Linked DNA regions of Rattus norvegicus. The protein of the gene in region 2 purifies or fractionates together with the protein of the main gene of each other region. This does not show direct contact. Links are inferred from orthologs where the notes say so. Each region holds a gene or a part of one and is shown on either strand. Other genes may lie near its edges.

The links.
Region 1: the proteins of Pa2g4 (region 2) and Ncl purify together in Homo sapiens (affinity purification with mass spectrometry; 3 studies listed by BioGRID and IntAct, with this or other methods). This does not show direct contact. The link is inferred for Rattus norvegicus from reciprocal best matches to the Homo sapiens genes PA2G4 and NCL.
Region 3: the proteins of Pa2g4 (region 2) and Npm1 purify together in Homo sapiens (affinity purification with mass spectrometry; 4 studies listed by BioGRID and IntAct, with this or other methods). This does not show direct contact. The link is inferred for Rattus norvegicus from reciprocal best matches to the Homo sapiens genes PA2G4 and NPM1.

The regions. Positions count from the first base shown.
Region 1 is NC_086027.1:94,449,998-94,453,166, forward strand, and holds part of Ncl (nucleolin), read right to left. Parts: intron 2,983-3,169; coding exon 2,794-2,982; intron 2,693-2,793; coding exon 2,606-2,692; intron 2,561-2,605; exon of another isoform or gene 2,489-2,560; intron 2,420-2,488; coding exon 2,278-2,419; intron 1,800-2,277; coding exon 1,675-1,799; intron 922-1,674; coding exon 798-921; intron 288-797; coding exon 133-287; intron 1-132. UniProt on the Homo sapiens protein: Nucleolin is the major nucleolar protein of growing eukaryotic cells. It is found associated with intranucleolar chromatin and pre-ribosomal particles. It induces chromatin decondensation by binding to histone H1.
Region 2 is NC_086025.1:1,571,295-1,573,935, reverse strand, and holds part of Pa2g4 (proliferation-associated protein 2G4), read left to right. Parts: intron 1-90; coding exon 91-183; intron 184-1,894; coding exon 1,895-1,958; intron 1,959-2,155; coding exon 2,156-2,234; intron 2,235-2,641. UniProt on the Homo sapiens protein: May play a role in a ERBB3-regulated signal transduction pathway. Seems be involved in growth regulation. Acts a corepressor of the androgen receptor (AR) and is regulated by the ERBB3 ligand neuregulin-1/heregulin (HRG).
Region 3 is NC_086028.1:18,245,651-18,249,307, forward strand, and holds the end of Npm1 (nucleophosmin), read right to left. Parts: intron 3,255-3,657; coding exon 3,153-3,254; intron 2,390-3,152; coding exon of another isoform or gene 2,381-2,389; exon of another isoform or gene 2,067-2,380; intron 1,386-2,066; coding exon 1,311-1,385; intron 436-1,310; coding exon 397-435; 3' UTR 89-396; downstream 1-88. UniProt on the Homo sapiens protein: Involved in diverse cellular processes such as ribosome biogenesis, centrosome duplication, protein chaperoning, histone assembly, cell proliferation, and regulation of tumor suppressors p53/TP53 and ARF.

The DNA.
Region 1 (3,169 bases), on a different chromosome or scaffold from region 2:
GATTTCAAATAGCTTTCACTCATGAAGACTAAGCATGAGCTATATGAACAAAGGTAAATTAATTCTAGCTAAACATAGAAGCAAAGATGCAAATGATTCCCACCCCCACTATACAATTAAACCTTAACTTACCACTCCAAGTGCTATTCTTTCCAGTTCTCTCTTGCCTTTGTCCTTTCTCTCCAGTGTAGTAGAGTGAAACAGACCGTCCATCAATTTCTGCCCCCTGCTTTTCTTCCAAGTTTTTCTCTGCATCAGCCTCAGACTTAAATTCAATATAAGCAATCCTAAAAGAGATTAAGAGTTTATACGCACAATTCACTTAATACATTAGACAAAATGTCACTCAAGCATATTATGATATAAGGACTTAAGTCGCATGTGACTGAAACAGGTGGTTATGACCAAACAGCTTTTACTGTTCTTTTACTGTATTAGCTCCTCTGAAATCATTCTTGAAGCTGGCCACCTATGTAAGGAGGAGAAAAAGCAGATACAATAATAGACTGAACTGCCTAGAATCACGTTTATCTCATATAATAGGCAAGGATAGTACTGGTGGCCAAAGATGCGATTTGGATTGAGGCCAGCTGTAAAATTTATCACAGCTTCAAGACCCAATAGTTGAACATTTTTAATTTCAGAACTTGGGAGATGGAGGCCAAAGGACCAGGTATTCTGTTTTTTTTTTTCTGGTTATGAAAACTACTTGAGATTATTAAGGGGAGGGTAGGAGAAGATAACAACAAACTCAAATTCTGCTAATAAAACTTAACATTCAAAGGAACAAAACATACCCTTTACTTCTCCCATCCTGGCTGACTAATCTGATCTCCACAGCATCTTCAAACACTTCTTTTAATTCATCCTCAGTGATGTTGAAAGAGAGGTTTTTGGCTAAAAGTGTTCTTGCAGCTCGAACTATATTGAAACAAGATTTAAGAACATCATTTTAGAAGTCACAAGAGAATAAAGCAAATAGCTCCTATAAAGGATAAGAATCTGTGCTTTAAAAAAAGGGGGATGGAGAGGTGGCTCAATGGTTACTAGCCTTTTGCACAAAGAGGACCCATGTCCAATCGTCAGCACTTAGTCACCTACCTACCTGGTGACTCAAACTTCTGTCCAGTTTCAGATGAGGCTCACCTCTTACTTGTTTACATGTATATATTTCCCCTAGACTGTATGTATTACATTGTATAAATAAGAAAACACTTCAAAGTCCACATTCTCAAACTTAAAATAGAGAACAAGAATTCATTTCAAGAGATATGTAAGCCTCAAGCATGCCATGACACACATGTAGGCAGATGACAACTTGGGAGTTTTTGAAAGCGTTAATAGTCCTGGCTGTCCTAGAATTGCTTTGTTTTTTGGCCTCAAAACTCAGATCCCCCTGCCTCTGCCTCCTGAGTGCTGGATGTGCACTAGTACACTGAAACACGCTGTTTCTTCCCTTCTTCATGTGGCTTGTAGAGATCAAATTTTGTACCTAGCATCTTTACTCAACTAACCATCCTGCCAGCCCTGACATATCCCAGGAATCAAATCTGTCAGTCATCACATGATCCACATCATTTCACTGGTTCACAATGAGGATGAAACTAAGGGAGAAAGGGGGACAAGACTATCTCCTAAGCATTAGTGCCGAGTTACCCAGACTCTTTTACATACCTTTCTTACTATCTCTTCCTTTTGGTTTTTCTAGTTTAATTTCATTGCCAAACACTTTTAAACCAGTGAGCTCCAGGGCCTTTTCTAGGTCTTCAGCAGACTCAAAATCAACATAACCAAATTTCCTTGAAAAAAGTAAAAAACAAGATTATAGGCATGAGGTGATCTACACCTGTACCGTGTGGTACGAACACAGGCAGCATGTACAACACTAACAAAATAAAACCAGATCATTCTTATATCCCATAAAATCGAGTCCATGTCCTTGGTTTCTTCATTCATCATACTGTAACAGCAGTAGCTGGCATGGACCCTGGTAAGTACTGAGAATCCTTTTAGCTAAAAGCATTTGCTGTGACTATGCAGACCCAAAGTGCAAAATTACCCAAAATGTAAAATTCTTAAAATTGCTATTTGACACCCCCAAGTCAAACACAGGACTTCAAATTGCAGGTCCTATAATTTGATGATTTAGTTCATTACTATCTAACCTCTTTATTACTGTAGTGCCTTATCTATCCCAGTATTTAAGGGCGTGGAAGAACACAACTGGAAGGTAAAAATACTAGCTGATACACACAAACCATTTAATGAAAAACATACCTATTTGTACCAGTTCTGACATCCACAGCAGCAAGATCATTTTTAGCAAAAAGTTCACTGATGGCAACTTTTAATTCAGCAACAGACTTGTTTGGATTAAGGTTTCCAATGAACAGGTTGAAAGGTGTAGTTGGTTCTGAGCCTGCACAAAAAATGAGCTTTTTTAGTCCACTTAAGCATACGACAAGTGAATTTCATCATAAACTATAAAGCACATCAGCATACTGCATTTCAATCCCAGATGTTTCAGTATTAAGTCCCTTTGTTAGTCATCACTTGTGCTATTGCTACTCTGATCTCCTTTTAAGTCCCAATTTTGCAGGCTTACCTTCTATTTTCTGTTTCTTGGCTTCAGGGGCTTCTTTCTGCTTGGTCATCTCCTTCTTCCGTTTTCCAGGTGCTGCTTTAACAGGTTCTGCATGTTTTAAAATGTCATTCATGAGTACACAGACTTTTTAGCATTTCCATTAATAAGCATTACTTAAGTCAGCATACTTTATAAGTTAATCTGGTTACCTTCCTCTTCTTCCTCATCCTCATCTTCATCGTCCTCTTCATCTTCTTCATCTTCATCCTCCTCTTCATCTTCATCATCCTCATCATCTTCCTCCTCCTCGGCCACACTCTTGGCTTTCACAGGAACAACTTTTGCAGGAGTTTTCTTTCCTTTGGCTGGTGTGATCTCCATAACTTCTTCCTCAGAGTCTGAAAGAAAGATGGCTCAGTAGGCAAATGCATTTGCTACCAATCCAGACAACATAAACACTACAAATACTTAAAAAAGGAAAACCTTGAAAAGGAAATAAAAACCCATTAAGTTATGGAAAGAATTAAAAGCATAAAATATGAGTTTTTAATCCAACCATGATGGTCAGGGAGTGTACATGCAGTA
Region 2 (2,641 bases):
TTGTGCTTTTAATCTCCGTTGTACTACTACAAAATTTGGTCACACATTAGTGGACTTTACAGAATACAGGCTATGTTTCTTTATTTACAGGGGTCCCAGGTAACAGGTCGGAAAGCAGATGTCATTAAGGCTGCTCACTTATGTGCCGAAGCTGCTTTACGACTGGTCAAACCTGGAAACCAGGTATAGTGCTTCCTTGTAATGCCAAAGCTTGACAGGAAAGGTGAAGTGGGCATCTGTAAACAGCAGTTGACTGAGTGCCTGCCATCCATGCAAGGCACAGCACAGAGGGTGTAATTTCTTCTTGTGGAACCCATAAAGGCCATTTTTAGATGTGTGTGTGTGTGTCCATATTTTTTATTATATATAAGTACACTGTTGCTGTCTTCAGACACACCAGAGGGCATCAGATCCCATTACATACGGTTGTGAGCCACCATGTGGTTGCTGGGATTTGAACTCAGGACCTCGGGAAGAGCAGTCGGTGCTCTTAACCACTGAGCCATCTCTCCAGCCCTGAAACACGAGGTTTTACAGTTGTGTGTGAGTGCTGGGTGTGGTGGTATATGCCTTTGCATTTGTTCTTCCTTTTTGTGTGCTTTCTCGTGTGCTAAATGCTCACACTGCACTCAGTTGGTATTCATTCTCCTGATTAAGAAAGTCCCTAGCTGGGGGTTGGGGATTTATTTAGCTCAGTGGTAGAGTGCTTGCCTCGCAAGCGCAAGGCCCTGGGTTCGGTCCCCAGCTCTGAAAAAAAGAAGAAAAATAAAAGTCCCTAGCCTGTACTAAGTTAGGCTAGTTCCTATTTTTCCGTTTGAATTTTTTTTTTTTTAAATTGGCTGTTTGCATCATGGTCAGTCCATAGCTGTTGGATCAGACACAGTCTATGAGCTCGATATTTAAAAGTCATCTCTTCCTCCCTAGTGATCCCATCCTCCTCCCTGGATCACCATATGTGATCCTCATCTGTAAACTAGGAAAAGTGTCAGAGGGACTCATAGCTTGGATGAAGAGGAAGATGTCTCCATGGGTAAAGGCCCTCGTACTCTGCCTGCTGACCTACCTGATACAAAATAAGAACTGTCTCTTAGAACTCACATCTATTAGTGATAAATGCATGCACACAAACACTAAGTTTATTTTCTTGTGCTTGTCTTGAAACAGCTCTTATTTTGTGTATGCCAGGCTGGCCTTGAACTCGGATCCTCCTGCCTCTGCTGCCCAAGTTCTGGGAGTAAAGGCATGTCTGCTTTGCCTGGCACAAGTTTTTTTTTTTTTTTTTGTTTTTTGTTTTTTTGATTTTTTTTTTCCCCAAATGTCAAGGCCAATGATTCTCACACAACCCCATCTTTTCTACAAACAAACTTATATCCCAGCACTCGAGAGGCATCTGACCAGGCATCTAAGGCAGGCCTTTATAGGTTCCACAGGAAGAACTTACATTCCTAGCAGTCTCATTGGAAAATGTGGGGTTACAGCAAGGTTTCTCCCCTAAATACTTGCTTATCTTTGGACAAATCAGCTAGTTTTTTTGAGTCTGTTTTCCTGTCCTCTGGATTGGGGTGTAGATCTGCTCCGTTCTTGAAGAGGTGTCGATTTGGATCGTGCTTATGAAAGCAGGTTTTTGTGGGTTGAGATCAGGTTTCTTTCCTCCTTGTAGCCCTAGCTGTTCAGGACTCGCTCTATAGACCAAGCTGGCCTTGAACCTCAGAGATCCTCCTACCTCTGCTTCCCCAGTGCTAGGAATGAAGGCGCCACCCTCCCCTGGATATAAGTCTGTAGCAATGATGGGTGAAGGAGAGTCATTGGTGAGGGATGTTAGAAAGTTGGTTGTGAGGAGAGGCTGGAGAGCAGACATAGCCTCACCTCCTTGTGCTTGTGCTTGTACTTGTAGAACACACAAGTGACAGAAGCCTGGAACAAAGTCGCTCATTCATTTAACTGCACGCCAATAGAAGGTGAGACGATAACAGTGCCAAAGGTCTGCCTGTGATGAGTGCTGATAAGTGCTGTAGGATTAAGACCCGTCCTGATTCTGCCTGTTTTCCATAGTCGGTATAATTGAGCCATCAAACTGCTTACATGGGTAGTTTTGGAAGCCATCAGGGGGCCCTATCCCCCCATCCCGGCACCACAAGTTCTGTCCTGTCTGCAGGTATGCTGTCACACCAGTTGAAGCAGCATGTGATTGATGGAGAGAAAACCATTATCCAGAATCCTACAGACCAGCAGAAGTGAGTCCCAACTCCACATCCCTCTCCAGACTACTATGGGTTCCTATAGGTGTTTGATGTTGGGTTTTTTGTTGTGTTTTTTTTTTTTTAATTTATTTTATTTATTCCATGTATGTAAGTACATTGTCGCTGTCCTCAGACACACCTGAAGGGGACATCGGATCCCATTATGGATGGTTGTGAGTCACCATGTGGTTGCTGGGAATTGAACTCAGGACCTCTGGAAGAGCAGTCAATGCTCTTAACCGCTGAGCCATCTCTCCAGCCCTTTTTAAAATGATCTTAATTATATCTGTGCCTGCCTGCTCCTCGAGCTGAAGTTAAAGGCAATGGCAAACCCACCTGGTTCTAGTGCTGAGAACCAAACTCAGGTCCTGTAAAGAGGAGTGTGTCCCCTGAATTACTGA
Region 3 (3,657 bases), on a different chromosome or scaffold from region 2:
AATAACTGAGGGGATAGTAGGAATACTTAACTGGGATGAGGGCACCGATGAAGTATGAAACCATTAAATAAGCAAATAGAAACAGTGCTACTTTATTAAAATACTGAGTTTATTTCACATGTATATTTGTCTCCCTACCATTTCCACATCTGACCACCACTACTACTATGTCCTATCATAACATTCCATACATACTTAAAACCAAGTAAAGGGCGGAGTTCCATCCTTGAAAACTAAACAGGCATTTTAGACAACACATTCTTGGCAATTGAACCTGGACAACATTTATCAAACACAGTAGGGAAAGTTCTCACTTTGCATTATAAAAAGGACAGCCAGATAGCAACTATTACAGAAATGAAGACAGAATTATTTCAAACTGTTTAAACCATTTTCTTAAAGAGACTTCCTCCACTGCCAGAGATCTTGAATAGCCTGTAAAAAGGAAAAATGGTAAAGAAATGTTAACTTTATAAAATTAAAGTTAATGTTTTCATCATATAAAGAGAAAATGCAGAATTTTAACTCAAACATAGCCATGAATGAGACTCCTAACTAAATGGCTTAGCCATGACTTTATGGCCAATGCTGCCTCCTGTCTGTGTGGGTCAACCCTATTTAGGGACTCAGAATTTGAGTTTACAGTAAAGTCCAGGCAAGTATTACAAAGCAAAAGAACACAACCTGGAGAAACCCAAAGGGACATAACCTGTTCTTAATGAAGTTTGGATAGACACCTATAGCTCAGACTGATGAAACCCTTTAAATCAACTGTTCATACAGAAGGTCTAACAAAACCCATATTTCCTATTTACAACTAATAGAAAATTTAAATTCACACCCTTGCATGGCCCAAGTGACTCCACCACAATAAACCATACCATTTATCTCACATGCATGAGGCTTTTTAACCTATCCTAGTTTGATTTTACCAATATTGTTCTCCCCCCCTTCACTATCTGGAGAAGACACTACCACTCCCAAGAGAGCAAATATCAGACTGTGTAAAGCAGCCAAATGGAGCAAATAAAAAGCCACAGCCTATTTCCTTAGCCAACACACTACCAAGAGTAAAACTAAGTTCAGTAACCAAGAGATAATTGACCAACTATTTAAAAAGCTGGGGAAAAAATGTGCACTAAAAATTATTTGCTCAGTCTGCCAATTAAATTCTTTCCATGTATTTAAGTACTGTCTGTGGTTAGGAACCTTTTACAAGAAGCCAATAACTTAAGAGTCTAAAAGTAAGAGTCATAATAAATCACAATGAAAATTTTAGATTTGGTCATGTCCACAGAAAATTCAGTTACCTCCTGGTCAGTCATCCGGAAACAATTCTTCACATAATTAATGAACTTGGCTTCCACTTTGGGAAGAGAACCACCCTATTGAGGAAGAAAGCATTAATTATTAAGGACAAGCACAGAAGTGAGACACAATTAGAAAACTTCCAAAGACTTGCATGCCATTACACAAACTATCCCTCAACACTACCATTTGATTAAAAAAAAAAAAAAACAAAACATCGAGGACCAAACCTCAGAAAGAATGGTTTTTCACTGCTTAAAGTCCAATTCCTTCCAAACTGCCAGTTTAAAACTGTATGGTTCTACCAGCATGCAAATACAGCAATTTGGTGCCTATTATAATAAGTTAGTGTCATCACCTACCACCAAAAAACCAAATTAAATCAAAACTGTTTATAAAAGTGTTCCAAAAAGCACACAATCAAAGGGTTCTAAAATGCTACCCTCACTGTTGCACCGACCTGGCATGTTTCCAATTATGAATATAGGCAGTGAATCACAGTATCAGCAATGTCAGTTTTGCCACCAAAACTCTTACAAGCTAGGTACAACTGTAACCAGCATAAAGTTATCACTACAGAGATTTATCCCTATTCTAAATAAAGTCCACTTCTCTATAAATTTTAGGTTTTTTCCATTTTTATGCACTTAGCAAGTCTAAGGCTTCCAAATTCCAGATTCATCTTGAGTACTTAAATTGCCTCCATCACCTAGAAGATAATTCACTACAATTTAAAAATATTGTCACATACATCCTTATTGGTTCATTCAAAAATTTATTTCGAGCAGCTAAGGATACAAAGGTTAAAATTAAAACATGGTCAGAGTTAAGGCATATGCACAAGTGGTATAGAAAAGCAGTCAAGTTTTCTGCATCACACGAGTGAAAAAGAAAAATGCTTTAGGAAAACGATTGCTTCCAGCCTGCAAGGGGGAATGGATGGCCAATCAGGAAAGGGGATTGAGATTAAAATAGAAGACTTCAGTCTGGATTGTTGATGGTACTATATTTGTTTCTCCTTTTCCTCTTTCCCCATCTTTGGGCTTAATTTACCAGTAGTGCCCAGGAATGTTCAATGCGCCTGCAATTAAACCAAGGAGATAGGACCACATTAAAATGGGGGGGAGGGGCATCATTTTAGCAGTGTATGCAAGGGATAAAAAATAAATCAGCAACACCAGGAAACTTAAGTTTACAGTTTAAATAAGAAATATATGTGCTGGCCAAGTGCTAAATTCCAATCCGTTCGTGGTTGCAAAGGAAGAAACTTCTGAAGCCATGTGAGGCCAGGACAGGACTGGGCAATTTCCTTATCATTTCACATGTATACTCAGTATGTTGGAATCATAATGGAGAATCTTTAATTTTCCAATAATCATGTGTATTATTCAATTTTCTACACAAACATGCTTTATATAATAATGTATTAGTTCCAGCCAAATGGCCAAGAAAGAAATTCTACCTAAGACTAGATGAAAGCCTATTAGTAGCCACACATAAATTTCAGGTCATGGACTGAGTGTGCTTTGGTACAGAAGGCACAGAAATAACTCAAATTGTTGTGAAATACTTAAAGGTGATCCTTTTCACCTTAGCTATAATCTCAGGCAGCCAAACACTCGTGTCTTACTTTTCCAGCTGTTTTTAGTTTTACTGAAAACCAAGCGCCCTCTGCTGGTTCTACAGCATAACCCCAGAAAGGACATTGTAAGATTGGAGTGCACCCTTCCAAATTTTGAGTGCACAGGATTATTGTTATAATCTACTTTTTAACCTGAATTCCCATATTAGTACAATTTAAAGTGGGAGAAAGACGAATCTATTTAAAGGTAATTTTTACTCACTTTTTCTATACTTGCTTGCATTTTTGCCTTAATGTCTTCTACAGAGCTAGGTCCTTTGGGTGTTTTGGGAGTTTTTTCCTGTTTTTTGAAGGACTCTTGACCCTGGAAAAGTTTTTAAAATTGTTAGTACAGTTCTTAACAAATAGTAATTACAAGGATTTCTATTATCCTTACAATTCCTTTTATAGATAAAACAGAGAAGTTGCTAATATAAATTGATGCATTGTAGTAATTCTTCCTAGCTAGTCTCAGAGAACCAAGTAGGTCATCCTTTAAAAAAAATCAAGTCACAAGCATCTGTGATGGGATCTGATACCCTCTTAAGACTGTCTGAAGACAGTGACAACAGTGTACTCATATTTAAAAAAGGGGTTGGGAGAGATGCTTCAAAGTTAGGATAGGATAAAATCAAACTTGATAGGCCAACTCCTATAATAATAACTCCTGACAATTATTTGACCTCTACAAGTATACACCTAGATCATGAAAGTTATACACACACAAC